Linked DNA regions of Xenopus tropicalis. The protein of the gene in region 3 interacts with the protein of the main gene of each other region in a biochemical or structural test. Links are inferred from orthologs where the notes say so. Each region holds a gene or a part of one and is shown on either strand. Other genes may lie near its edges. The genes, in order: hif1a, creb1, ep300, npm1, sp1, parp1 and ddx17.

Region 1 (4,236 bases), on a different chromosome or scaffold from region 3:
AACCCCCATCTGTCTATAATCCCCTCTAATGTACTTGTACAGAGTAATCATGTCCCCTCGCAAGCACCTCTTTTCCAGAAAATACAACCCCAACTTCAACAGTCTCACCTCATAGCTTAAATCTTCCATCCCCTTTACCAGTTTAGTTGCAGTCTCTGCACTCTCTCCAGCTCATTAATATCCTTCTTAAGGACTGCATCATCCCTTGAGTCAATTCTCTTTATTATACAAGACAGCACTTTATTTGCTTTAGTAGCCACAGAATGACACTGCCTGGAATTAAACAACTTGTTATCTACCTCATTTTCCATTTTGCTGCCTGGTTTTCCAATTTTATCAAATCACTCTACAAAGTGGCAGGATCCTGCATCCTGCATGTGTTTTGCACAATTTAGTATTATCAGCAAAAATAGAAACAGTACCGTCTATGCCCTCCTCCAGGTCATTAATAAACAAGTTAAAAAGCAAAGGACCAAGGACTGACCCCTGCGGTACTCCACTAACCACACTGGCCCAATTAGAAAATGTTCCATTTACCACCACTCTTTGTAAATCTATCCTTCAGCCAGTTCTCTATCCAATTACAAATATTATGTTCTAGGCCAATATTCCTCAATTTTATCATTAACTTTTTGTGTGGTACTGTATCAAACACTTTAGCAAAGTCCAAGTAAATGACATCCACAGCCATTCCAGAGTAGAAGTTCCTGCTCACCTCCTCATAAAAGGCAATTAAGTTAGTCAAGATCTGTATAAAACCATGCTGGCAAAAACGTACTGTTTTTTGCATTCAAGTATTCTTTCCCTTATTACCCCTTCCAAAAGCTTTGCTAGTCGATGTCAAACCAGCAGGCCTATAGTTTTCAGGCTGAGAAACGGAACCTTGTAATGAGGCCCAGATGCACAAAATGTCTAATATGGACTCAGCCCAGCAAAGCAGCATGCCATTTGTACCACGCACCCACTACTGCCAGTAAACCGGACATTTAAGAGCAGTTTTGAAATCCTAGTTCTACAACGACAATCCTTTTCCTGCAGTTAGTCAGCAGTGCAAATAAACTTTTTCAGACAAAAACGTCAGGACAACACGAGTTCTCAAAAGTGGAAGGACAATATTTTAATATATAATCCCTTATTTGCAGCAGACATTGCATTGTAAAGTTATACATTAAATTTATTGGCACTGGGCATGAGTGGGTTAAGGCTCATCCGACAAATCGGCCTCCGCCCCCCTCCCACCGAGACCAGGGAAAAGTGGGCAGGGCAAAGCCGCCGAGGGCTCGGTCATGTGTGAGCCTACTGATTGGCTGCTGCGATCTACGTCGGCGGCAGCTCGAACTGCACACCCACTCGGTGACGCAAGCACTTTCCCCGAAGCGTTTTGTTTGCGTTGAGTTAGAAGTCATCGGCCGAACCGGGAGAAAAAAAAGAAACACCGCGATCGTACGGTCGGATTGAGCGGAGGGATTGCGTCAAAAAAGAGTTCCTGCCGGTGTTGTCGGGGTCTGACCTTGCGAGCGCCTCACGCCTGTGGATTACAATAGCCCTTTCAGTAGGGCCCTCGGTTTCTGCGTGCATAGGACAAAACCCTCGGCGCTTGACACAGCTCCGGAGCGTCCCTCCCCCACTCGCTTGGCATGGAGGGATCTGTAGTAGCGAGCGACAAGAAAAGGTGGGTGCTCCGCCTCTGTGTGCGCCCTCTGACCTGCTGTTCCGCTGTCCGAGACCCCTGGCCTCACACCCTTTCCTTTAGTCAGGCCATTGCAATGAATGAGCTATTGATTCCATAGGGCAGAGTTGTAGATCTGAGCCACAGGTTGAGCAGAGAAGCACAGGGCCTGCCTGCCAACGCCGCTTGTGTTAGTCCGGGCAGCAGTGGAGGCTGCTGTGGGGCTGAGTGTGCTAACAGCCGGAGGGGCCGCCACTAAACAAATGTTGTTTTCATTCCAACTCCAACACTAATTTGTTTCCCATCTGTACTAATGTTTGCCCTTCCTGGACCTTCTGCGTCGCCATTTTGTGCGAGACTTCCTAAGTTTCTGCTGCTTCCCTGTTTGCTTCAGCTTTTATACTGAGCCGAGTGCCAGGCTGCTGTGAGTGTAATGGCAGCCCCACACACCAAGGCCTCTCATATCGGTTATTTCTGTTTAACTGATTATAACTAGCAATGTACCACATTCATGTATGTATTCTCCACTTACAACTATTATTCTGTGTGTATGTATATATACATACATAGAATTTGTTTAAGCATTGCTAAACATTTGTACCATACTTTTTCTGTGATCGTAATATTTAGTCAGGACACTATTTGCAGGGAGTGGGAAATGTTAGTGATACTAACTCAGGGGTGATTATTATTATTATCATTAACATTTATGTATAAAGCGCCAACATATTCCGCAGCGCTGTATAATAAGTAGGTTTCATACATTGGACATACAGAGTAACATATAAAGCAATCAATAACCAATACAAAAGGTGGAGAGCCCTGCCCAAAAGAGCTTACAATAGAAGTGTATTAGATAGTCCTGGAACTTTTGTAGGGTGGCAGTTAAAAATACGTTTTCACATAGGTGACAGTTTATTGATCCATACAGGAGCCACGTTCAGCAGGGTTAAAATATATTCAGTTGCTTCCATGTCGTTTGTGGCATAGGATATGCACATATTTTAGCACCATAGCAGTATATTAACTTGTGGGGTATAACCTTTATTTACTGTAACTTTGTAAGGTCATATGTAAAGGCATGAGAATTGTGATAACTATGCCAGTCAGTCATGTGATGTTGAGTTGCCGTAATGTATTTAGAGCAAGAGTAGTATGTCTCCCTCACCCAAATGTTGTGTAAGCTAAACCCATGTTTCTGGCTCGGATGATGTTTCTAAACTTCAAAGTTGTGTGATTGCCATAGTCTCCTGATCTATCTTGGGAGTTCATAGAACACCCAGAATTGCCTCTTATCTTATTGAATTTACACATTGTATCGCTTCAATGTACACAGTGCTCTACATGTCATAAACACAAACCAAGGTTATAGTTATCATAAATTAGACAGTGAGAATAAATCAATACTTAAAGGAACTGTTCAAAGTAAAAATAACACTGGCTGAATAGGCTGTGCAAAATAAAAAAAAAAAAAAAATGTTTTTACTATGGTTCGCTAAAAATGTAATCTATAAAGGATGGGGTGAGCGGATGTCTAATGTAATAGCCTGAATCTAGCTTCCTGCTTTGCATCACTCTAAACTGTTAGCAACTAGAAGGGGGGCCACATGGGACATCACTGTTCAGTTTGTGTGCTTTTAATCCTGACCTGCCTGCTCATGGTCAAAGTCAAACTAACTGGACAGTCGCTGACTAGCTAACAGGTTAGAGAGAAGCAAAGGAGTTAGTAGTTTTCTGGTGTTTATTTAATACATCTTTTCACTCCAGCCTCTATATATTACTTTTTTTGGCTAACTTTTTTAACAAACAGACTATGCAAAAATGTAAATAAATGTTTTTAATACAGTCAGTTGGGAAAAAATGTAATAAGAAAGGCTGGCATGAGCAGATGTCTAACATAATAGAATTTAACTTCCTCCTTTGCATTTCTCTAACCTAGATAGTCAGTGACTGTTAAAGTAGTTTGTGAGCACACAGGTCAGGGTCAAAGGCGTTTGCCTTTGACCCTGAACAGGTATGTCCGGATGAAAAAAATCTGTGTGCTTTTTAGTACTGTTTGATTCAGTCCTCTTTAAGCAGTCATTTGAAGTTGCCTGGAATTTGGAGGTCTGCTTGAGGCCATAGTTGGATTGCATTCAGTTACCAAATCTCAGCATGCACAAGGCAGTAGGAGTTGATATATTAATTTAATATCCATTCAGGCTGATTTATTGGTAATTACAGTATATTTTTCCAGGGTCGAAGGGACCTTGTATGTAAACAGGCATAAATACTAGAAAAGTGTAGGAAAAGTTAGGAAAGCTCAGTGGTAACCCCCCCAACTACATGTAAACGTGTTTCTTGCTTGAAGTTGGATAGTTTTAACAAGCAACCAAGATACACTGGCATTAAAATTGGCCTGGGTATAATTAAGGTGACAGCTTTCTGTTGTTTGAATGCTTGTATAATAGTTGGCTTTGTTTGGCATTTTGGTAGGTTTTTTTTTTTTTGGTGCAATCTTAATACCTTGGACAAAATGTACAGTGTATGAAAAGTATTGGTTTGACTAGAGCTGCAGCACTTGGGAA
Region 2 (4,424 bases), on a different chromosome or scaffold from region 3:
TATTTTTGGATCTCAATCCATTCTTAATACTTAAAGGAACAGTAACACCAGAATATGAAAGTGTTTTAAAGTAATTAAAATGTAATGTACTGTTGCCCTGCACTGGTAAAACTGGTGTATTTGCTACAGAACGCTCCTATAGTCTATATATAAATAAGCTGCTGTGTAGCCATGGGGGCAGCCATTCAAGCTGGAAAAAAGGAGAAAAGGCACAGGTTACATAGCAGATAACAAATAAACTCTATAGAATACAATCACATTTTATCTGTTATCTGCTAAGTAACCTGTGCCTTTTCTCATTCGAATGGCTGCCCCCATGGCTACACAGCAGCTTTGCTTATATAAACTATAATAGTCTTTCTGAGGCAAACACACCAGTTATACCAGTGCAGGGCAACAGTGCATTATATTGTAATTACTTTAATATGCTTTCATATTTTGATGTTACTGTTCCTTTAAAGTTGGCCATACATGGCAAGGTCACTAAACGGGCAAATCTTTCACCCGATATGCCTACCTTGGGTGGGTGATATCGTGCCCCATCACATTGCAATGAAGGGGATAGGAAAAGCCAGATCAAGGACCACATCAATAAGCCAATGCAGTCCCCGATCCTGCAAAAAATCAAGCACGTACAATCAACATCTGGATCATTTTTGGCCAGATATCTGTTGGGGGGGTTCTGTCGGAGGGTCCCATGCAGGGGCAAATAAGCTGCAGAGTCGGTCTTAAGGAACAGAATTAGCATCTGAAATCTGGCCCCGTATGGCAACCTTAAGTTGCAATGGAAAAATAGTTACACCAGCACACCCTTACCTCCTCCAACAGGTTAGCTACTTGGTGCACGGCCCAGAGAGTCCGCACTCTCCGCAAAGTCCAGTAAAAATGATTTCAGCCGGCACAACAAGTAAAGTGCAAGTGGGGTATAACCCCTGCGTGTTTATTCAAGGCAACGTTTCGGGGGCGAACCCCTTCATCAGGCCACCTAATACTCAAGGTGGCAAGTACACTATAGCGTCATAAGCACTTCATGAAACAGCTCCGATTTAAAAAGAAGAAGGGCGACAGGGTAACGTTATCTGTTCTAGAATCGTAATAAAACTATCAGACTAACCTGTAAAACATGAAAACTAAACTGATAGCTTTAATCACAACAACGGCACTGTTCATTCAGCCAAAGCAGCCAAAGCACAGGTAAGGTCGCCGCGGGTAACCAAAGCCCGTTTCTCATAATTCCCACACTCACCAACCTTAACTGCCTGTTAGCTCTGTAGCTTTACTGCAGCCTGTGCAAGTTGTCGCATCAGTAGATACACGGGTTTCCGCTTACAGTGTCGGAAAGGGGTATTGGGAACTGTAGTACAACTGCAGCAGAAAGGTTTTACTAAGGCCTAACTTCTGCGCCTGCCCAGATTCCACCCTGCGCTAGCTCCGCCCCGCCCTCTGCTGTTGGCTGCCTAGTCTGTCGAGGCCTTCCTCAGTGTCCTGTCGGAAAAGAGCCCGCCGCCCTGACGCCGCGCCCGGGCCTGAGCTTAAGAAAAAAAAAAACTAGCGCCACCACAAGAGGAAGAAGAGAGAGCAAGAGCAGCAGTGACGCGGCGGAGGTGTAGTTTGACGCGGTGTGTTACGTGGTGGGGAAGAGAATAAAAAAAAGCCCAGCGAGATCCCAGCCGCGAACGAAAGCAGTGACGGAGGAGAGGCAGTGTAACCCGGTAAGAGGAAGGAGGAGGAGAGGGAGAGGCATGGAGGAAAAGAGATGGAGCAGGCCTCACCGCCGGCTGCTTTCACAAATACCCAGGCGGCAACTGATTGTAGGGAGGGATTTCTGGGGGCTGCCAAGAACAGCGCGCCGGCTTTTCCTTCGAGCTTGCTTTCCCGCCTGTCATGGTTCCCCTTTTTACCCCCTTAGATAATACAGAATGTTTACCCCGCCATAGTAAAAATGGAGACCGTGCGGAGGGGGTGAAATAAAGAGCCGCGAAACAAAGGATAATGGCGGCCGGGAGGAGGCAGCCGGCGGCGGCAAGAGCTGGGGTGTGCGATACAGCCACAGGGGGTCACCGGTGGGGAGACCTCCGCAATCTTTCACTGTCGCGACAGTCAACGGTGCTTATCACGACACATATATATATATATATATATTATATATGTGTGTATGTATATATATATTTTTTTTTGTGGCTTGTTAGATACATGCGACTAGTATCGTTCATGTTTTCCCGCAATATAGTCTTCATTCAAAGGGGAATATTCATGATGCGATGAACGAATTCTTCTTTTCCTCCCATATTTTTTAACACTACTTTTTAAAGTTAAATTTCTTTTTAAAGTTTAACGTGACTCTTAGGTTATTATTTATAAACAATGCTCCTACCTGCGGCACTCCAGCCGGGGTCGAACTAAAGGTCCTGTCAGGATGAGCTGAGGGCTGCATATTAGTAGCTGAAGGGCCGCAGGTTGGACTTGAGTGGCTCGCTAGTTGGTACAGAGGGAAAGCAGGCAGGTCTTTTTGCTGAGCATGACTTCATTTCGAATTGTTAGTGGGTTCCTGAAATATCTGATCGTCAGGGTTCACCAACTGTCTGCTCTTCTGGCAGCAATGGGTAGATATTTTTATTTTTTTACTGTATATTCTTACCCCAGCTCCCGGGCATCCTTCTAGTCATGGTTTAATAGTTGTCCACTGGTTGGGTAACAGCAGCATCAAGGGTCAGTGTAGACTGGTGAGGGTGAGCTCTTTGACCAAGATTACCAGAGGGAGGTTCCACTAATCCTGCTTTTAAAGCTTCATATTTATGTGACCCTTGTTCTGCAGTTTTTTTTATCCTGTGTTGAATGTTTGAAGCTCTAAAAACAGAATTGGCCCCAATGTCTCTCTGGCAGTCTGTGTATGTATTTTGACACATTTTTCATGAAGAAATGAAGATTGTAACATTTCAGAGATTTCCATGTTTCATCCAAGACTGGTACGGTTTTCTTGTCCATATATTTTGTTGCACTGCAATCCCTTATTGAACTTCCACATTATTTCCCTCATGCTTGCTCATTACTTTTTGTTTGATGAAAACATCTGGACAGTGAGAATAAAATTTGTTTATAATAGATCTTTACATTTTGTTTTATTTAGTATTGTCTACTTAATGCAGATCTGCATTTAAAGTATGTCAGGTATGATTAGACTTCAAAAGTATGAAATCTACATCACCTTAGTAATTGCAGGGAAGCATTAAAGCACAACTTTTGTGGTACTCAAACATTCTGCCAAGTAGAGGGCTAAGGACCCCAGGTTCTAGAAAGCTGTAATTTGTATTGGTCAATTTAGAGACCCAAGTTCTAGCTTGTCCGTTTGGGGCTAATATGTGAATACCCAAAGCACTCATTTACACACAATTAAACTTGCTAAAACTTCATTGCTGGTACCCTATAACATGGCTTCAGGGGGGTTGGTACATATTAGTGTGCTCGTTAATTCTAACATTTATAAGTGACCTGATATCGCTTAAATATTAATTGATTTAATTTGAATGCAGACAAACATAGTTTGGCTTTATTTGTGATATTTTAATTTAAGGCTTAAATATTTCAGTAATTAGAATACTGTTTTATATTCTTGGTTAATGGCAAACAGTTATAGACTTCTTTAGAGATGTTTTTAAACACCAAGTAAACTTTACAGTGCATATAGATGGATTTCAAAGGGTTCCCCCCCATAAGAATGCTGTTTTTCCCTTGAAATGCAATAAAGTTAAAAACAAAAATGCTTGCATTTTATTTTTTGTATTTGTGTTTTGCTTATTCAGTCACTTCCTGTTAGGCGGGATAGGTTGTTTTTTTTTCCCAACACTTTGAACATTCTCCTGTAAGTCTGCCTTTTCAAAGCCCCTTTCCAGAAACCCCAAATAAGCTGCATGCGTATTTTTTTTTTTTTTTTCGTTATACTCTAGTTATTGAACACTTTCATAAATAGGCAGAGATCATCATACACTTAAGCTCTGAGGTATATTTCAAAGTTGTTTTCATTTTAATAATACATTAGATGAAAACTTTCTTTTTATGCAAGGGCTTTGCAGGTTTTCATTTTGATTACTAAAAGGAAAACAAAACTGATAGAAACACTATGAGGGTGACACATACCTCTCCCATCCTAGTATAATAATGCTGTTAAAAACCTGTAGCTGTGGCCTTTTATTATAGTACATAATAATAGAGAAATGTCTTGTATGGCAAATTCTAGTATATACCTTTGGCATATTTTGCTGAGTGAATCCCAGTCTGTCCATAAGATAAAATAAATCTAAATAGCAGGAAATAAATATTGTATAATGAGACGCTTCCCTGTCTTAAGGCCTGTGATATGTCATATATATAAGTGTGCAAAAGTAGCACAGAAATGTTGAGCTGCTTTTCACACAGCACATTGCCGT
Region 3 (3,670 bases):
GTTTATTCCTGGGCTGTTTTGTGATGTTTGTTGCCCAAGGCCCATGCTCATGTTTGAGGTGGTTCCACCACGCAAGAGCTCAGAAAGCTGCTTATGCTTGGCAGCTGCATCAGGCACCATATTCATGCTGTTGTGTAGCTGACTGAGATCTCCACCATTAGTCAGACCAAACTCACTTGAGTTAATCAACTCATCCGGTAAATCCTGTTCCAAGTCGAACAGAGACCCAAAATCTAACAAGAAAAAATAAAAATTATCAGTTAATGCTACTGGAATTAAAATGGGAAAAACATAATACTACTCAAGAGAATCAGCAAAACTTTGCAAGGGAAGCTTGTTTGTTCATTCTGGTGGTTAGGCTTTCAGCAAGGTTTATGCATGGCGGCTCAGCCTGAAAACCAATTAGGGTGAAAACTGGGGTGAAAGGCCATTTGCTATTCTAGATACACCTCAATGCCTAGTGAAGAGTTAGTGAGAGCTGGGGTGAATAATTGGATATTCCTGAAAATATGAATGACCCAATGATATTTTCCTGTATCTGCACTCATTGCACAAGTTAAGCAGGCGCCCTGGCTAAAGGTTGGACAGTCAAGTGGGGACTGAACAGAAAAAAAGCGATTATGAATGGCGATAATTTTTTTTCACATTTATAAAGAACCAAAATATTCCGCAGCACTGTAGAACTGTTTAGAAAATATTAATTACAGATGCAGCATGTTAGCCTATCAGTTGTGGTCCTTGCACGAATAATCAGAACACTAGAAAGGCAGCCATACCTTGTATGGCCCCTTGTAAGCTCTCTGTCCATTCAGCCTGTGGGCCAATAGTTTGGAGAGTGTACCCAGCTACTCCATGTACCGGCCCAAGATGAATTAAACATTTGTATCAGAAGGCAATTGCTCATGCAGCACAGAATAACATACCATAGTTACCCGTTACTATTTGCCACTTTTGCATGTAAGGCAATCTTTAGAATATTTTTTAATAACCTAATTACACTGTTTTCTGTGGACTAAAAGACATCGGGAGATGAACATGAAAAGAAAGTTTTCATGTGTTCATGTTTGACTCTCAAAGACAGAAAAACCGAAGATGCTTAAAGATTTTGTTCACCTATTGAGTTAACTTTTAGTATGATGTAGAGAGTAATATTCTGACACAATCTAATTGGTTTTCATTTTTTCTTATTTGCGATTTTAATTATCATTTAACTATTTGTCCAGCAGCTCACCAGTTTAGAATTTCAGCAGTTATCTGGTTGCTAGGGTCCAACTTACCTTAGCAACGAGGGGGTAGATTAAATGAGAAACTGAAATATTTATGGGAGAGGGCCTAAACAGAAAGTAAATAAATAAAAAGTAACAATAATAAAACTGTAGCCTCACAGAACAGAAAGTTGGAAAGAGGCAGAGAATGACAAAATTTAAAAACTATAAAAAAAAAAATAAAGAAGTTCAAACCAGTTGAAAAGTTGCTTAGAATTGGCCATTCTATGACATACTAAAACATTTGCTATGCCCAGGATGCAAACTTACTGAAATGAACAGATTTTGTTACACTAAATACAATTTATTATACATTTTTTTGGAAACTAAACCTGCATTATTATTCAGGGAAGTCATATTAGGAAGAACATATTCACTTATTGCTCATCTTTTGTCAAGGATTTATAAAAATTAGCATCACGCTGCATTTGTATATCTATGTTACCACCCCCAGACATATTGTCTGTATAATTACCAAAATGGTATTGTAACTAACCTAAATATAGATGCAGTATGCATTTATCTGGAAATATTAGATATATTTTGCCACATGCAAATTATTGCTAATTTTGTATACTAGTTAGAAGGCCAGTGCTCTTTGAAAACCACACAACGCGTACACTATGCAAAACAGACAACTCTACAGTATTCTCTCAGCATAGTGGATATCAAATCTGAGCCAATAAGTTATTTGAGCTGTGTTATTTTTCTGCTTTTAGCCAAGTCTAAAAAGAAGCACTCCACATATTAATCTGACCACTACATTAAAGATCAATTAAAAAAAGGGGATGTAAAATAAATGCAATATTAAACAGTGATACTTATTCCCATAATCTGGGAGCCACAGTTTTAAGGTATTCCAGTAGGAAGCAGATACAGTTGATTATAATCAACTTGCAGGAATAGATGCCCCAAGAAAATCTGATCACTGCAAAGTAAGAAACCTGCTCCAAAACAGTTCTCTTTTCAAATATTCCCATGATGCAAGAATATTGGGCGTTTTAGTAAATGAGAAAAGGGATATAATTCCTTTGCATACACAGGTATGGGATCTATAATCCAGAATGCTTGAGACCTGGGGTTTTCTGGATAAGGGATCTTTCTGTAATTTGGATTGTTTTGCCTCCAACGAGGATTAATTATATTCTAGTTGGGATCAAGTACAAAGTACTGTTTTATTATTACAGAGAAAAAGGGAATCATTTTTAAAAATTAAAATTATTTGATTATAATGGATTCTTTGGGAGACAGCCTTTCCTAGAGATTATGTGCAAATCCATATTTTGTTATAAGTGATGTTTTAAACCACTTTTGCACTGAAAAATGAATGATAGCTTTTAAGTGTACACAAGAATATTTACAAGCAAAAATCACTGCACACTGAAAATGTATCTAACCAGTAAAAAAAGAGCACATTCAGGAATACCTGACTAAGTGACCAAACCAAAATCTGTACATAATATTGTAGCCATGAACAACAAAATATCTGCCAGTCTAATAGCAGACCTGTGATATTTAAAGACAATGTGTTAAATATAACATAACTTAAGACTTTGTTTCAAACTGCAATGTTTGCTACAACCCATACATTATGTTTTTTCATTTATCCAGTAACTCCTTTCAAAATATCTTGGTGGTTGAAAGGAAGCATCATTTTAAGCTATTTTCCAATGTACACTAAACATTTTCTATGACTTCAATTATCTGTAAATAAAAAATTGAAATTGGAAGCATTGCAGTTAGGTAGGTTATATATAGGCATAAAAGGTTGAACTTAATGGACATTTGTCTTTTTAAACCTAATGTACACTATGTAAAACATATAATATCACTTTGTCCTTTAGTGCCAACTGTCAAAACGTAGCAAAATTCAGTTTTCATCTGGCTGTTTTATCAGCCATCCCTTGAACCTGGGGAATATGTAACTGGCAAGTATTTTACTACTGTATTGAGAATTCAAAATGTATAGCCATTACACATAAAATGCATGACTAGTTTTCCTACAATATTTGCCCTTTCTATAGTCTTATACTCTTTTTTTGGCCCATTTACACCATACCTAAAGACACATTGTATTTTAAAATGCAACTTAGAGCAATTAATTAATATAGTAAAACCAAACCATTGTATAATGTGTAGCCCCCTGTGTACCTCCCCAGACAAAATGATCTTACAGTCCTAATGAAAAGTTTATGTTTACACTATGATTCAACAGGACAAGTTAATACAAAATGCACTATAGAATCAAAAGCATGTAGAGTCCAGTCTGCACACCAGTCCGTTTCTTCCACTCCCATAACAGCAAACTAATTTTGTTTTGGGAATAGCATCAGGACGTATGCAATTGTCAAAATCATCATTGTACCCTGTAGCCTTCAGTTTTGCCTTCCCTGTAACTAAGAACC
Region 4 (4,249 bases), on a different chromosome or scaffold from region 3:
AAAGGGCATTGACTCAAGGGATGAGAACATAATTTTGCCTCTTTATAGGTCCCTGGTAAGGCCTCACCTTGAGTATGCAGTGCAGTTTTGGGCTCCAGTCCTTAAGAAGGATATTAATGAGCTGGAGAGAGTGCAGAGACTGCAACTAAACTGGTAAAGGAGATGGAAGATTTTATATTCTAAAGTATATTAATGTGTGTGCTGTATCGCACTTTAAATAGGGGTACAATCTCTCATATAAATGCAGCTTGTTTAGGAGAGATCATCTGAAAATACAGAGGTTTCCTGAACCCCTATGTGGCTCCCAATAAAAGGGCTAACAGATCTTTCTTAAACCCCAATGAAAGGGCTAACATGTTTCCTGAATGGAAATAAAAAGGCTAAAGGTGGCCATACACAGGAAGATCCGCTCGCTTGGCGATGTCGTCAAGCGAGCGGATCTTCACCCGATATCCCCACCTACGGGTGGCGATATCGGGGAGGCATGTAGGTGAGGGCCAAATGATCGAATTCTGCACGCGGCAATGGGGCATACGGTTCGGGGACCGCATCAACGAGCCGATGCGGTCCCCGAACCGACGGGATTTTCTAACCTGGCCGACCGATATCTGGCCAATTTCAGGCCAGATATTGGTCGGCCAGTCCGCTCGTTTCTGCCCCTACACGGGCCGATAAGCTGACGAGTCGGTCCAAGGGACCGATATCGGCAGCTTCTATCGGCCCATGTATGGGGACCTTAAGGTCCCTATGTATATGAACATTTTTAATTGACATTAAATAATTTGATTGGCATTAAATACACCTTTCAGATCCATTTTTTTCTTTTTAAAACCATTCCACATTTATTTTGCTAGGCTGAAATTAGTGTAAAAAGTAAAAGTGGCCTATAATCAAAGCCACACCCATAGCAGAAAAGGCACTGCCTCAGACTAGTATCTCACTTTCCATATTATATCAAAAGCAGTTTAAAACCAGTAAACATGTCTAAAGCCCGCATATGAGAACGTTACTAAAATTAATTATTACATTAATTATACACAAAAAGAGTTCAGGGATAGAGATCCCCTTTAACAATCTCTGCTATGGACACAGGCCTACACAACGTGAACTCCTTGCCATTATCTTACAAACAAGCACATGGTGGGTCACGTTAAATTCCTATAAACCCACAGCTCGTTTTGCGCAATCACATACCTCACAGCAGAACGTGTTTAGCCAATCGTAAACTGCGTTACTTGTTTGAGGGAAAATAGCCCCGCCTTTCTATGGCGTGAAATCTCGCGAGAAAAAGGCCCGTACATATAGAGACACGTTGCGCGCCATTAGTTCTCAGAATCCGTCCGTGCCGCTGTAGAGTAGAGGGGGTACATCTGAATTGAATTGGAACAAAATGGAAGACTCCATGGATATGGATAGCATTGCTCCCCTGCGCCCTCAGAATTTTCTCTTTGGTATGTATACAGTACCAGGGGTTTTGAAACTCGGCCACGGGTTTTTTTTGGGAAATATTATATAGACGTCACACGTTCCGCTGACTTGTTCATGGCTCCCCGGTGTCCTGCTTTTAACGGGACAGCCCAGTTTTGCGTCACTCAGCCCGCTGTCCCGGGCTTTTGTTGGAATGTCCCCGCTCCTTCCTCACGGTTAGACTGCTCCTGGGCGCAGGAGCCGAAAGCATGGATTCATTGCTGCTGCCCTTTGCCTTTCTATGGCTCCCCTCCTGCTACCACTACCACATTATGTGGAATATAGATTCCTTCTCCCTCCCCCAGGTACAAGCTGCACCAAATGAATGCTCTTTAACTGCTTCCGCCTCCATCTCTCCTTCATATTACCTCCCTACCCAGAGTTATCCTAAACTTTGAAGCCAATATTGCTCCAGTTTATCATCTATAATACCACCTATATCTATAATACCACCTGCAGGTTCTGTTAGCTACAACTCCCTGCACCCATCAATATCTAACATACATTGTACAGCTCCTATTTAGCTACAACTCCCTGTAACATGTGCCATTGTTTCAATATCTCCACGTGTAAATAGCCATGTGCCTATCAGCTGGAGCTGCCATTCTTACCTCTGCACTTATCATCAGGAAGGAAGAGTTAAATATATATAGATATATATAAAATAGTCTAGATAGATATATCTATCTATCTAATCAAATAGTTAAGAATTTTAAAACTAATTTCCTTTTTCTCTGTAATAAAATAGTACCTTGTAATTGATCCCAAGATATAATTAATCCTTATTGAATGCAAAACAATCCTATTGGGTTTAATTAATGTTTTGTTGATTTTTTTAGTGTATTTAACGTATGGAGATCTAAATTACAGAAAGACCCCTTATCCAGAATACCCTTGGTCCTGAGCATTCTGGATAACAGGAGATAGATAGATATAGGTAGATATATTCTCGATAGATAGATAGATAGATAGATACAGAGATATATCTCAGGTTCTCTATAGAGAACCTATCTCTGTATCTATCTATAGAGAATATATCTACCTATATCTATCTCCTGTTATCCAGAATGCTCAGGACCAAGGGTATTCTGGATAAGGGGTCTTTCTGTAATTTAGATCTCCGTACCTTAAATCCACTAAAAAAATCAATAAAACATTAATTAAACCCAATAGGATTGTTTTGAATTCAATAAGGATTAATTATATTTTGGGAACAATTACAAGGTACTGTTTTATTACAGAGAGAAAGGAAATCTGTTTTAAAATTCTGAACTTTGATTAAAATGGAGTCTATTGGAGACAGGCTTTCTGTAATTTGGAGCTTTCTGGATAACAGGTTTCCGGATAAGGGATCCCGTACATGTGTTTCAAAATAAATAAAAAAAAAATACACACAAGTGCCATAAATATCCCATAAAAGATATCTTTATAAATGGTGCCTGTTCATGTAATTTGTCACATGACTTGCATAAACTTGTGTATTGTAATAAAGTACCCACTGTTGTAAAATGAGGATATTCGAAGTCACCTTGGAGTTGGGCTATGGAATGTCTGATTTATAACACATGTAACACTTTTTTTGGCTGTAACCCAGCCAACTATGTAGAAGGGACCAAACCGAGCTATGGTGTAGTGCAACTACAACCCACTGTAGCTGTGTGCAGTTCAGAATAACAAATGAGAGCCAGAAGGTTCTTGCAGTTGAACAATAGAATCAGTTTATTGTTAGAGATATGCATGGTTATATATCAATATGCAGGGTAAGTGTAATATACTCACAGCAGTTTAGCATAGCATTTCTCTGCAGACAGCACAGAGGGTGCACATCCATTCCTCACAACTCCTCTTGAGTCTGGCCAGGGTCCGTGCCACTGGTTCAGTTTATCCACCCTTTGGAACAGTCAGATTGGATACCACACTCCTCAGGTTGAACACCTCTAGCCCTCAGGCTCCCACAGCAACTCTGGATAAGGGTTCTGATACTGCCTGCCTTCTATGTCTAAGGGCTCTGGCACACTGGGAGAGCCCTTAACCGTGGCCCTACGCTAAGGCAACAGTGCCTGTCTGGAAGTGTACTTCCAAAACTACTTTATTTGGTGGAGCCAAACTGCCCTTGCTTCCTTCCCTCACTATCTCGCTTTCCTAGAAAGTGCTCAACACAACATGCTATCTAACTGGTCCTCATTCACAGGGTCCCTGTCACTGACTTCTCTAGAGTCGATGCAGACTCTACGGTAATCACTTTACTGGGTCCCTGTTGATCCCAGGCTCAGTGGAACTTCCACCTGGGTCAGCAGATGGAGCCAAAGAGAAAGCCACACCCCCCTGCTAAGCACTATATCAGTGTGCCAAGGGAGTGGTCTCCCTGGTAACCAATAAGGCACATATGCAAAACTCTAAACTGATACATGGGTCTTTGCCCAGTAACTGCACAAGCCAAGGAAGCTGCAGGGTTTAAAGCCATAGGGGCATGTTAACCCTATAGGTCCCTACATGTATTTTTTTTTTTTTTTTTTTACAGTAGAGGGGACTTTAATCACTATTTGACGATGCATGGAGGTACAAAGGGCAATGCATTGTAAAAGTGAGTTCTTCAATAGGTAGAAAGATGTACATATAAAGCAGTTAGCCCATGCAAGAGGTAGAGGGCTCTGTCTGAAAGAGCTTACAATCTAAGGTAAAATATGTGGCATAGAGCATGGAATTTAATAGAACATTTCTTTAGAAAAGCTTGAGAGTTCTTTTAAAGGCAGGAAGACTGGGAGACAGTTGGACATCATGT
Region 5 (4,397 bases), on a different chromosome or scaffold from region 3:
AGATCGCAAATATCACGAAAATGCTTACGAAAAAATCGTATTAGTCACGATAATATCGTATTGGCGATCCGAAAGTTGCGAAATTTTCGTACCGAACAATTGTAAACAGTGGTAAAACCTTTATGATTTTTTCGTGCAAACGTCTGAAAAAGTCGTGCGGACGCCCGAAAAAATCGGCGAAAATACGCTCGGAGTGTTCACGCTTTTGTAAATGTGCCCCTATGTCGTTTTGCCTCAAGCAATATGGGAATTGAGCTACATGGAAGCATCAGCAAACTGTACTATAAAATGGAAGCTTAATGGTGATGGACTCAGTTACACCTTTAGGGCTCTGGCACATGGGGAGATTAGTCGCCCACGACAAAACTTCCTGTTCGCGGGCGACTAATTTCCCCGAGCTGCCTTCCCCTGCCATCCCACCGGCGAAAATGTAAGTCGCCGGTGGGATGGCACACGCGGCGGCGCGATTTAGCACAAATCGCCGAAGTTGCCTCGCGAGGCTTTTTCGCCGATTTGCAGGGGAAGGCAACTCGGGGAGATTAGTCGCCCGCGAACAGGGAGTTTTGTCGCGGGCGACTAATCTCCCCGTGTGCCAGAGCCCTTACAATCTAATAAATACAGCCAGGACTGTTTTCTCAAGAAAAGGCATTCATTTTTTATTGAGCAATATATTTCTATTAATGATAGGACTGACAATGCTTTACTGGACTGGCTGCTTAATAATTATTGATATCAATTTGGAAGAAGTGGCCCAATAAAGAAAATAAGCCTTATATATTGTGCTCGGCTTTATGTAACCTATGTCACTTTTTTTTATTGTTGTAACTCTGATATTTATTCTAAACCTGCTATTTTCTATGCACGACCCGTCCATCATTCCCTCTCTGTATTACAGATAATGCGGCCCCTTTAGTCACGTAGCCACTCAGTCGCAACTCCGACTGCTGCCATCTTGCTTCCTATTTGCACGTAGGCTGATGCCGAATAAAAACGAATACTTTAATAGCTGTGGCCAGTTATTCTAAATAATTAAAGAGCGACATTCTGCAATTCCAGCAAATGGCGCCCAAACCCTACAACGACCAGTCAAACTTTAATTTCCCTTCCCCTCCTCACACAGCTCTTCAATTGCTTGCTTTTCTCGTATGATTCGTCACTTAATGAAACGCCTTGGACTTCGTTCGATTATGATTGGCCCTTTTCAGTGTCACTCTAACCTTGGGAAGGGTTCAGACTAGAGAGCCACCACCCCCGCCACATTCTTTCATCTCCCTCCCCCATCACACACCGCCTCCGTGGCTGGGCGGGGTCACTCCACCTCTAATTGGTCAGCCTTCTCTGTCAGTCTCCAGCTAACTGCACCCACCGCGCCACCCCATTGGGCGGGTGGAGCCGCCCCTCGGCGGGAGTGGTTAGGCGGTCTGTCGATCTCCGCCCGTAGCCCCGCCTACTCACCGTCTCCGCCGCGCGGCAGCCAGGTTAGGTTGCCATCGTCAGCCGAGGTTTGTGTGAAGTACCTACGGCCCCAGAAACAACATGAGCGGTAAGCAGGAGAGTGGGCATAAGGGCGGGAGGTAACGCGGGTTCGCAAGCTTATCCCAGAGCCCCTCCTGGCTTGCTCGCACGCAGCTTGTGTGAGGGATCGCTCCCCCTGGCCACTTTGTGGGCTTTTTGCTGCGCGCCATGACTCGCTGGCGGAATGCTGAGAGCGGCCGGTACCACCGGAGGAGGAGGCGGGGGTGTAGAAATAAAGTCATATCCGCCCTCACTACTTCGTTCGTTCTCCTTCCTCGCCCCCTTTTTACTTTTCCCTATAACTGGAGAGGTGGTTGTGGCGGTAGAACCCCTCCCTGCTGTCCTCCTCTCCCGCCCTGTTTTTCTGCCCCCTTCGGTGGGTGGGGTAGAATTGTAAAATTGCCCCCCGCCCCTCCTAGCATGGTAGCCGGTACTTTTCGTGACACAGGGAAAGGGCAATACGTGACCCTAAAATGTTCCCCGGAACCCGTTGCCTTCGCCTATAATGTGAAGCCTGCGGCCCTCCTTCTGTAGCCCCCCCTGCCCAGAGCAATCCTTGCCTCACACTGGGGATATCTGCCCCTCTGGCGCCCAAACACTCCCAGTATCCGTAGCTGTGGGGTATCTGTAGTTCCCCTGAAACCATTATCCGCCCTCAGCTCGGGCAGTTTCACTGACATCGTATGGATGGGAGGGACCTTCATCCGGTAGATCCCTTCATTAACCTGCTGAACGGGGCCGCTGGGAGTTGTAGTTTGCCTCTGGAGTTGCCATTACTCGCAGGTGAAGCCTATGTAGACCATTTATATTTATTTGTAAATCATTTTACTTCTAGAACGTACTCCTCTACAGAGGGTTGTGGGAGTTGTAGTTCCACAACAGTGCTGCTAAGGCTATCTAGGCTGATAGATGGGAAACATGTTTGTGAGTCTCTTCACTTCCAGTATTGAGAGGTTTGTGAGAGTTGTAGTTCAGCAGTCTGTTTCTAAGCTGAGGGGTTTGTGTTTCTCAGGGAAGTAGGGCCGGCCATGTTGTAAGCCTGTGTGTGCATGTTTACTCACTGCCCTCACTCACACACTCTCTCTCTGTGCTTGTGCCCTTCGCTGACAGCAGATCAGGAGCACACGTCCGATGACATGCCTACGATAAAGTCCGAAAACCGGACAGGAGGTGGATACATCCAGAAGGGGCAGGTAAGCGGAACCCACCCATATTGCATTATACACAGATAGGCAGGGACCATGCCTGGGAACTATCCAGCCCTCTCGCCTTGGCTGCCTGTACACTGGATGAGCATGGGGGAGGGGGGCTGAGGCCTTTTTTTTTTTCCTCCTTTCTCTTTGAGAATGGCTGCTGTCCTCCCACCCTTTGGCTGGCAAACCTCCCACCCCCTGTTCCTGACTGCCCACTTGGGGCAGGCCCCAGAAACCCTTCCCCCCAGCCCTGTCCCTCCTGTTCTCTCTCTGGCTGTCTCCTTGACATGCTGGTTTGTTTACATGCTGGCACTCTTTGTGCTGTTGCTAATACTGCAAATGGCACCTAGGACATAGCCGTAGAAGGGTTAAATTGACATTCACGTTCAGTCTTGCATCTTATTGGCAGCTACATTTTTAATTAAATTCAGCAACTGCATCTGCTGCTTCGGCTGGTGGGGGCCGAGTGTAAATGGCAGTTAGGGTTAAATCTGCTCAGATTTGTAGCAAAGGCTGGAAAGGCAATGCTCCACTAAATTTCACTGAGTGTTATTTTTGCTATTGTGCAACAATAAAATATCACTTACAGCACACACCCAGTTTATTCCATTGTGGGTAGTACTGTCTTTGTACCAACACCCACCTAGGCATGGTTATCTCTGCAGCTTGTGCTGTCTTAGGCCATCGCAGGAGGTGGCGCCCCCAACTGATGATGTTGGATATCTTCCCAACGCTGAACCATGTATATGTAATAGAGTGCTACAGCTATAGAATCCCTTATCCAGAAAGCTCTAAATTGCTTGCAGACCATCATAGAACTAAGTTTAAAGGGCACCTATCACCATTTAGTTTCTTCCCGCCACCAGAGGTGTAGGCTTTAGAGCCCGCATTCTGGAAAACAATAGGTTTTTTTTTTTAAACAGCCCCCACGGGCGGCCATGTTATTTAGCGTGCATGTGCATAATGAGCAAGACTCCTCACTCATTGTGCGCAAATGTGTGACGTAGGAGCAGCACACACACACACACATATATATATATATTATATGTGTGTGTGTTTCCCCCAACCAGAGTGCGGGCTCTATTAGCCTGCACCAGGATGTGGGGAAAGCAATTCGATGTGATATTATGCTAATAATACTAATTTATAAAAATGATTTCCCTTTTCTCTGTAATAAAACAGTAGCTTGTAATCGATAGTATCTTAGCTGCATAAATCTGGGGCAAAACAATTCTTTTGTGTTTTGTATAGTGATGCAAATTACTCAAATCCCTTAAACCTAGGTCCATGCATTCAGGGTAATAGGTCCCATTCAAAGCTGTTTGTTTTTTTTTTTTTTGACAACAAATTTTCTTCCATTATTGACTTTCCATTATATTTATTATTTTAATGTAAAATAAGTAATACTGTGTGTTTTTCCTGGGAATGCACACTAACATGCCTGGGCAATGACCCACCTGCACCATTACCTCTCTCACTAACATTGGGGTAAGCTAAGGCTAATGCCACACGTAGCATATGGTGCATTGGCCTGCCTTCTCCTGTAAGGTGGTCACTCTTTCTACCATCTTTCTGTGTGTCATTCCTCAGTACATTTATGACCTTATCTTTTTTTTATGTGTGTGTGACATTCATATATCTTCCCTGTGCAGCACTGTCTAACCTATGGTCATAAAGTCAAAAGTCATA
Region 6 (4,139 bases), on a different chromosome or scaffold from region 3:
TAAGGGGTCTTTCCATACTTTGGATTTCTACTAAACCTGCTAACACAAGAAATAAACCCAATAGAACTGTTCTGCCCCCAATAAGGGGTAATTATATCTTAGTTGGGATCAAGTACAGGTACTGTTTTATTATTACAGAGAAAAGGGAATCATTTAACCATTAAATAAACCCAATAGGGCTGTTCTGCCCCAATAAGGGGTAATTATATCTTAGTTGGGATCAAGTACAGGTACTGTTTTATTATTAAGGAGAAACCGGAAATCAATTTTAAAAATCTGAATTATTTGAATAAAATTGAGTATGGGATATAGTCTTTCCGTAATTTGGAGCTTTCTGGGTTTTCAGATAACTGATCCCATCCCTGTATATTAAAAGCAAAGTTCGATGTTCCAGACTGCAAAACAAAGCACAAGGCCACTTACTGAATTTTTCTTACTCGGGTGCATTAACTTCAGCCAAAATAGATACAATTCCCATACACAGAGAAAGAGGGGGTCTTGAATAAAGACCAAAGCAAAACTGTTTATCTGGACTGATGCCTAGAACTGTGCTTCAGTGTATGTACATCACTGCTGATCAAATCCAATGCAATCAGATGAGATCACTTTAGTCTGGTCTCCCCACCATCACCTGGCATGTATGTGGGGGGGCACTGGCTGACCAGTATGGGGGTACAGCTTATTGCGTGCCCAGAACATTCCTTCTCTGTATATTTGTATTTATACATATGGGTAGGGGGTGCCATAGTGTTTCCCTTAGACAGTACAGTATGGGGGTACAGCTTATTGTGTGCCCAGAACATTCCTTCTCTGTATATTTGTATTTATACATATGGGTAGGGGGTGCCATAGTGTTTCCCTTAGACAGTACAGTATGGGGGTACAGCTTATTGTGTGCCCAGAACATTCCTTCTCTGTATATTTGTATTTATACATATGGGTAGGGGGTGCCATAGTGTTTCCCTTAGACAGTACAGTATGGAGGGCATCATTTTGTGTGCCCAGAACATTCCTTCTCCGTATATTTGTATGTAGATAGGACTCAGCTGGAAATCCCTTACTGATACTACCTAGTTAGTCTCAGTTCAGCACAGTAATCATGAAGGAAGGGGGTGGGTGCTGCAGAGCCACAGGGGCTAATAAAGTGCCCAGTGTGACACCAGCCTTTGTTATCTAGTAGAGACAATTGCCCCGGCTCCCCCCTGGGTTCTGAGCTGCTCGGTATGTATATAGCCTTACAATGGGCCCCCGGCACTGTAAAGTCTTGTAAATACAGGCCAATGGCAGCCTCTGGGAACACGGGGCAAATATTCCTCTTGCTGTGCAGCTCTACGGTGGGTGTGTAAACATCCAGAATTGCCCTGGCTTCTCCCTGGGGGAGGGGTTTGGGCAGATACAGAAACAAACTGTATATAGGATCCGCCTTCTTATTCCCAGTATTGGTACCATGTTACCCCATTCTGGGAGAAAGACCAACAATTTGCCCTGGTTCTTTCCCTTAACTTCCCTGGCTTGCCAACAGAATACCCCAACACAGGGCAATAACAGCCCATCACTGGGGCAATTACCTACTATACATCACAAACCTACCGTTTGACAACAGTCCCCATTCAGGGGCAACAAGCCCCCCTACAACTCATTACTGCCCTATACCTGAACTCAAAAGTACCCCAGCTGGGGCACTTACCTAGAGCATGTTATCCATTGGCTTTCACAACATACCTTAACCTGGGGCAATAACCTTCCATGACACCCCACCTTAGGACCCGTATTCACAATAATAACCCACTGGGCTGGAGGGGGCACTTTCCTATACCCCATTACTAGGGCAATTAGCCCAGGGCTAATAACTTACAAACTGCCCATGCTGTATGAGCCACACTAGCCTCCCCATAGGCAATAATGGCCCATACTGTATGAGCCACACTAGCCTCCCCATAGGCAATAATGGCCCATGCTGTATGAGCCACACTAGCCCCCCATAGGCAATAATGGCCCATACTGTATGAGCCACACTAGCCCCCCATAGGCAATAATGGCCCATACTGTATGAGCCACACTAGCCTCCCCATAGGCAATAATGGCCCATACTGTATGAGCCACACTAGCCCCCCATAGGCAATAATGGCCCATACTGTATGAGCCACACTAGCCCCCCCCATAGGCAATAATGGCCCATGCTGTATGAGCCACACTAGCCTCCCCATAGGCAATAATGGCCCATACTGTATGAGCCACACTAGCCCCCCATAGGCAATAATGGCCCATACTGTATGAGCCACACTAGCCCCCCCATAGGCAATAATGGCCCATACTGTATGAGCCACACTAGCCCCCCCATAGGCAATAATGGCCCATACTGTATGAGCCACACTAGCCTCCCCATAGGCAATAATGGCCCATGCTGTATGAGCCACACTAGCCTCCCCATAGGCAATAATGGCCCATACTGTATGAGCCACACTAGCCCCCCATAGGCAATAATGGCCCATACTGTATGAGCCACACTAGCCCCCCCATAGGCAATAATGGCCCATACTGTATGAGCCACACTAGCCCCCCCATAGGCAATAATGCTGCAGCCCAGCCGGGCCCCTACCTGCACCATGAGGGCAAGCCGCAGGGACTCCTTGGCGATGTTGTCTCCGCATTTCTTACAGGAGGCGCGGCCGCTCTTGGCGTACTCAGCCCGATAAAGTTTCTCCGAGGCCTCGGCCATGGCTGCAGGGAGGAGCGGCTCCTACACACAGGGACACTCCGGCTCCCACTGGAACAGCGTGCAGCCCCAAGCCCGCCACACAACAGAACAGGCACAAGCAATCACCGCCAGAGTGCGCGTCTGGGCCGCTTTGCTTCCTGGCATCCGGGGAACGGCAATCCATTGCCCATGTCTGGGCAGGGAGGGCGTGGCCCCAGCACACTTAGTGACGTCACTTTCCCTAGCTTATCTGTGTGTCTGTGTGAGAATTGTGAGGAATGTTTGTTTGTGTGAGGAATGTGTGTCTGTGTGAGGCAAAGTATTATGTAAGGATAATAACAAGGCGTCAGATTTGTGTCTTGTGACTATATGGGCACAGAACCCCTCAGTGACTGCTAATATCCTTATCATTTACAGTAGGGGGTACATTATCCCTTATAATACATGAGTGATACTCAGAGTTCCCTGTATAACTCAGCCTGCAGCCTTGTGCCTTTATATGGGGGGCACAGAACCCCTCAGTGACTGCTAATATCCTTATCATTTACAGTAGGGGGTACATTATCCCTTATAGCACATGAGTGATACTCAGAGTTCCCTGTATAACTCAGCCTGCAGCCTTGTGCCTTTATATGGGGGGCACAGAACCCCTCAGTGACTGCTAATATCCTTATCATTTACAGTAGGGGGTACATTATCCCTTATAATACATGAGTGATACTCAGAGTTCCCTGTATAACTCAGCCTGCAGCCTTGTGCCTTTATATGGGCACAGAACCCCTCAGTGACTGCTAATATCCTTATCATTTACAGTAGGGGGTACATTATCCCTTATAATACATGAGTGATACTCAGAGTTCCCTGTATAACTCAGCCTGCAGCCTTGTGCCTTTATATGGGGGGCACAGAACCCCTCAGTGACTGCTAATATCCTTATCATTTACAGTAGGGGGTACATTATCCCTTATAATACATGAGTGATACTCAGAGTTCCCTGTATAACTCAGCCTGCAGCCTTGTGCCTTTATATGGGGGGCACAGAACCCCTCAGTGACTGCTAATATCCTTATCATTTACAGTAGGGGGTACATTATCCCTTATAATACATGAGTGATACTCAGAGTTCCCTGTATAACTCAGCCTGCAGCCTTGTGCCTTTATATGGGCACAGAACCCCTCAGTGACTGCTAATATCCTTATCATTTACAGTAGGGGGTACATTACCCCCTATAATACATGAGTGATACTCAGAGTTCCCTGTATAACTCAGCCTGCAGCCTTGTGCCTTTATATGGGGGCAGGGCCGCCATCAGAAATCACGGGGCCCCTCACAACAAGATTTTCTGGGCCCCCCCTCCTCCCACACTCCCAATGGCCCCTCCCCCAGTGACCCCTCCCATCAATACAAAGGACATACAGACATTGGTAGCCAGGGCCCCCC
Region 7 (3,889 bases), about 4.6 Mb from region 3:
GAATAGAGTTGACAGATAGCCAGAACATTTGAATGTTATGCTTTAAATATTACAGCGAGATCAATAAAAGCACCACTCTAATAAAACAATGGTACACATGGTGACTTTTTTTTTAAAAAAAAATTTATTATCTACAAAATGGTGTCAGATGGTTCTCATGACAATTTAGAGAAATGAATTTTAAAAATGTAATAACCACTCCAGCAAACTAGAATGGTAACATTATTTAAAGGTATGGGGCATTATCTGTAACTGAAAAACAAAATTACACCTGAGAGAAATGCAACTATAACACAAAACACAGAAGCTGAAATAACAGTGAGATGAGAGGTACAGACAACCTGCCATGAAAAATAAATCTAACTAATGTGAACTTATTAATGCTTGTTAAAAGAACCTACCTTTGTCTTTGTCACACATGGCAACAAAAATGCCAAAATAGTGTCTATATAGTGGGAGGGTCAATGTATTTAGGAGAGGCATAACACTGTAGATGTCCCCCACCCCCAGAAGAAAGGAGGATTATACACCAATCAAGGGAATTATAAATACAGAGAAAAAAGTCTTGGTGACAGGGAAATAAGGGAGGAATGATGCTTGACAGTCTGGAATTTTACCTACCTGGAATAACTCAGGAGTAATAAAAAAAAGGAAAAAAGCAGCCACAGTAGCTTTCAAAACTTTCTGGCAAAAAAAAAAAAAAAAAACAAAACAGGTAAAAAAAAACAAAAAAAAAAAACCGAAAAGCCCTGCAAATACATCAAGTCATCTTAAGGCTACTGCCAGAACAAAGCACATAGAATCCTGAACACTAACTTTAAAGAACAGCTTCAAAGATTGGAAAAGTCTAATTCCCAAACATTGCTGTGATCAAGATAAAGGAAAAACAAAATGCAACAAAACATAAAGCTTACTGAGGGAAATTGTGTATTACATCAACTGGTAACACAGGCTAAAAGATAAAAAGGCTGAAGAACTCATTTACGTGTAGGTGGAGGTGGTGGTGGAGGAGGAGGGGGATACTGATAACTGGCTGCCTGGTTCATATAGTTCAATAGGCCAGAGGAGCTAGGTGGGGCAAACTGCTGTGACATCAGTGGCTGCGGTGCCTGGGCATATGCTGCTGTGCCATAATTGTTAGCTACTCCTGTGAAGCCACCCTGTCCGTAGCTGTATTGGTTGGGTTGGAAATTGGAAACCTGGCCACCGTAGCTGTAATTTGGCCGGTTCTGATCTCGCCCGGTTGGATTGTTAGAAATAGCACCATCGCGGTTATTGTTCCTCCCATCACGTCTTCCTCCATCTTTACCATGCATTCTTCTGTTACACTCTTCCTGGTACATCATATTTGGATTGTTATTTGTGGGAATGCTGCGATATCTGGATCGGCCACCTAGAGAGATTTAGAGCAGTTTTTAACATATGGTTTAAACACAGGAAAACAGTAAAGAAATACATTTGTTTACACATTACAGAAAGAAGAGACCTAAAGAGGAATAGTTTAAGAACTTTCTTCAGCTTCCAATGCACCTGCCAACATTGTTTATCAGCAAAAGTGGGATGCTACACAATCTGATCCCTCCTGCTGTAATGTAAGTCAAATCAGAAGTAAGATGGTGCGTTTTGTTAACGCATCTACATTGACGAAGAAAACCAACAAAGTCTTTTAGACACTATCAGATTTTACCTTGTCGGACACAACTTGCAGTGGAGTGCCCTGCCGGATGACAAATCTGCCATATACATTACACATCAGATTTTGTTATCAGTCCCATTATATTTTGACCTATGCAAGGATGTAATCAGCCAACCTGCCACCATTCTACATCTCCTGTGTAGCTTAGCTCTAAATCTTCAGGACAGATTTCATCTGCCATCCATCAGGATCACAGGATTGTCAAAAGCTCATCCCTCAACTGACATACACATCTAGATGGTCAGTCAGTAAAGTTGAAATAGGCCAAACTGCTTTAAGCAGGCCACACATGCCCAGAATTGTTGGGTAGTCTCCTTTGTATTGATATATTGCTTTATGCATGTCCCAGCACACACTTGTTATCTAAATATAATTTAAGATTTTAATTGTGAGCTGCGTTTGTCCTAAGGCAGAGGTGAAAGCTGTATACTGCTCTTTATACCAGCCACCCCTCCCTTACACTCTGCTACTCAGGGTGGAAGAGTACATTTAAATTAATAAGTAGTTAAGATTTTTAACACTTGTTACTTAAAGACAACTTCAAATCCAACCATCACATTTAGTTATATACTGTACACAAACCTCAGGGCAATGACCTACCTCCACCACCGCCACGGCCATGGTCCACCAGCTGCATTAGTTTAGGGTTGATTGTTTGATTTGCTTCTTCTAGAACTTTTACCAGTTCTCTGGCTTGTTTGAGGTTACCAGGTGTGAAGAAGGTGTAAGCTGTGCCTTTGTTAGTACTACGGGCAGTACGGCCAATGCGATGTACGTAGTCTTCAGAGCTGTTTGGGTAGTCATAATTAATGACGAACTTGATATCCTCCACATCTAAAAATTGAGTGGGAAATTGACGTGTAGGAAATACACACGCCAGAAGAGTGACAAAGATTAAAGTTAGTAAATGTAGAAAAATCTTGCCTCAAACTATTTCTGATTTCTACTACACTTCAGTGACTAAAGCTTAGAGTGTCTAGGCAAACTGTGATTCCCTGTAATTTCTGTTCCAAAAGCTAAAGCTGCCTTTATCTTGGTTCTTATCTGAAGTCTTAAATTAGAAATCAGAATATTGACCATTTCAGATGGATTAGGGCTTCATATGCAAAGATGCATAATACTATTTACCAGTCACAATTATGTTAGAAAACATTGAAGATAAATTCACTGACAATATAGTTCAGAGAGCTATTCCATAAACTGTAACTAATATAATGCCCAAACTGAACACATCAGATATGAGATGACTGACACTGAACCAGTTAAAATCCTAAAGCTAAAAGAGAAAACCATTAAAGCACTAAAAACCATAAATAATTTAAATTAAACTTAGTGGGATTCTTCCTCAGAAGAGCTGGTGTCCGGACCGATGCACACTCCCTCAGTGAGGTAGGGAAACAGCAGTCGCCAATCCCGTCTTTTTGGCTCATGGCGGTGTCGCCGCCCTTCATCCTTGGATAAGGGGCCACTGGAGCAGGGAGCATGCATCAACGGTCCAGGCGCAGCAAGAGGTCCCAACAGGTGCACTGGTTGAGCGAGATACTTCTGTGGGGGAGCCCTTCTCCCAAGTCCAAGTTTGTGAACCTGTCAATGGGCGAAGAGAGACCCCATCCTCCAACACTCACCATCTGCCATCAATAAAGTTATTAAAATCTTTGAAAGGTGGATGTGGACAAAGCTGCTAATTATCAGATTTTACCAAAAGGGAAGTTTGGATAAATGTCTGTTTCTTATTACAGAAAGGTCACTCACAAGAACTGCAGGTTTGGCTAATTTACAGCATAATATTAATTTAAAAAAAGGAAAAAATGGGAGAACAAAGTTCCACTATTTAGGAGGGAAGAATAACTTTGAAACCAATAGGATGAACAAATTAAATTTTTGCTCTGTCCATTAGTTTAGTGTGTTAAAAGGAAATGACAGGTTTCTAGGGCGCTCACTTTCTTATGTTCTCCATGACAGAATGGGAAGTCACGCACACTGCCACATCCTGCATGTGCAGGCAGGGAGAAAGGAGGAACTAAACAGTTTAGGAAGTAGCCACAAAAGGTCTGAAGAAGGGCAGAAGGGCTATTCTTCTGCTTTGACAGCCAAAAGACTTCCCAACAGTTGCCCAGCAGATGGCATAGTGGGAAGCATCTGTGTGATCTCCCTTCTAGAAAGGTGGTCCTTCTATTCAATAAGGCTGGGCAA

Evidence for each region.
Region 1: the proteins of ep300 (region 3) and hif1a form a complex in vitro, tested with the Homo sapiens proteins (25 studies listed by BioGRID and IntAct, with this or other methods). The link is inferred for Xenopus tropicalis from reciprocal best matches to the Homo sapiens genes EP300 and HIF1A.
Region 2: the proteins of ep300 (region 3) and creb1 form a complex in vitro, tested with the Homo sapiens proteins (2 studies listed by BioGRID, with this or other methods). The link is inferred for Xenopus tropicalis from reciprocal best matches to the Homo sapiens genes EP300 and CREB1.
Region 4: the proteins of ep300 (region 3) and npm1 form a complex in vitro, tested with the Homo sapiens proteins (2 studies listed by BioGRID, with this or other methods). The link is inferred for Xenopus tropicalis from reciprocal best matches to the Homo sapiens genes EP300 and NPM1.
Region 5: the proteins of ep300 (region 3) and sp1 form a complex in vitro, tested with the Homo sapiens proteins (4 studies listed by BioGRID, with this or other methods). The link is inferred for Xenopus tropicalis from reciprocal best matches to the Homo sapiens genes EP300 and SP1.
Region 6: the proteins of ep300 (region 3) and parp1 form a complex in vitro, tested with the Homo sapiens proteins (2 studies listed by BioGRID, with this or other methods). The link is inferred for Xenopus tropicalis from reciprocal best matches to the Homo sapiens genes EP300 and PARP1.
Region 7: the proteins of ep300 (region 3) and ddx17 form a complex in vitro, tested with the Homo sapiens proteins (2 studies listed by BioGRID, with this or other methods). The link is inferred for Xenopus tropicalis from reciprocal best matches to the Homo sapiens genes EP300 and DDX17.

What each region holds. Positions count from the first base shown.
Region 1 is NC_030684.2:101,984,915-101,989,150, reverse strand, and holds the start of hif1a (hypoxia-inducible factor 1-alpha), read left to right. Parts: upstream 1-1,277; 5' UTR 1,278-1,637; coding exon 1,638-1,672; intron 1,673-4,236.
Region 2 is NC_030685.2:49,783,035-49,787,458, reverse strand, and holds the start of creb1 (cyclic AMP-responsive element-binding protein 1), read left to right. Parts: upstream 1-1,578; 5' UTR 1,579-1,712; intron 1,713-4,424.
Region 3 is NC_030680.2:115,934,986-115,938,655, forward strand, and holds part of ep300 (histone acetyltransferase p300), read right to left. Parts: intron 234-3,670; coding exon 1-233. UniProt on the Homo sapiens protein: Functions as a histone acetyltransferase and regulates transcription via chromatin remodeling. Acetylates all four core histones in nucleosomes. Histone acetylation gives an epigenetic tag for transcriptional activation.
Region 4 is NC_030679.2:20,062,236-20,066,484, forward strand, and holds the start of npm1 (nucleophosmin), read left to right. Parts: upstream 1-1,338; 5' UTR 1,339-1,390; coding exon 1,391-1,451; intron 1,452-4,249. UniProt on the Homo sapiens protein: Involved in diverse cellular processes such as ribosome biogenesis, centrosome duplication, protein chaperoning, histone assembly, cell proliferation, and regulation of tumor suppressors p53/TP53 and ARF.
Region 5 is NC_030678.2:146,984,177-146,988,573, reverse strand, and holds the start of sp1 (transcription factor Sp1), read left to right. Parts: upstream 1-1,487; 5' UTR 1,488-1,536; coding exon 1,537-1,543; intron 1,544-1,850; exon of another isoform or gene 1,851-2,198; coding exon of another isoform or gene 2,199-2,298; intron 2,299-2,625; coding exon of another isoform or gene 2,626-2,628; coding exon 2,629-2,708; intron 2,709-4,397. UniProt on the Homo sapiens protein: Transcription factor that can activate or repress transcription in response to physiological and pathological stimuli.
Region 6 is NC_030681.2:7,987,591-7,991,729, reverse strand, and holds the start of parp1 (poly [ADP-ribose] polymerase 1), read right to left. Parts: upstream 2,834-4,139; 5' UTR 2,720-2,833; coding exon 2,600-2,719; intron 1-2,599. UniProt on the Homo sapiens protein: Poly-ADP-ribosyltransferase that mediates poly-ADP-ribosylation of proteins and plays a key role in DNA repair.
Region 7 is NC_030680.2:120,521,856-120,525,744, reverse strand, and holds the end of ddx17 (probable ATP-dependent RNA helicase DDX17), read right to left. Parts: intron 2,531-3,889; coding exon 2,297-2,530; intron 1,394-2,296; coding exon 978-1,393; 3' UTR 570-977; downstream 1-569. UniProt on the Homo sapiens protein: As an RNA helicase, unwinds RNA and alters RNA structures through ATP binding and hydrolysis.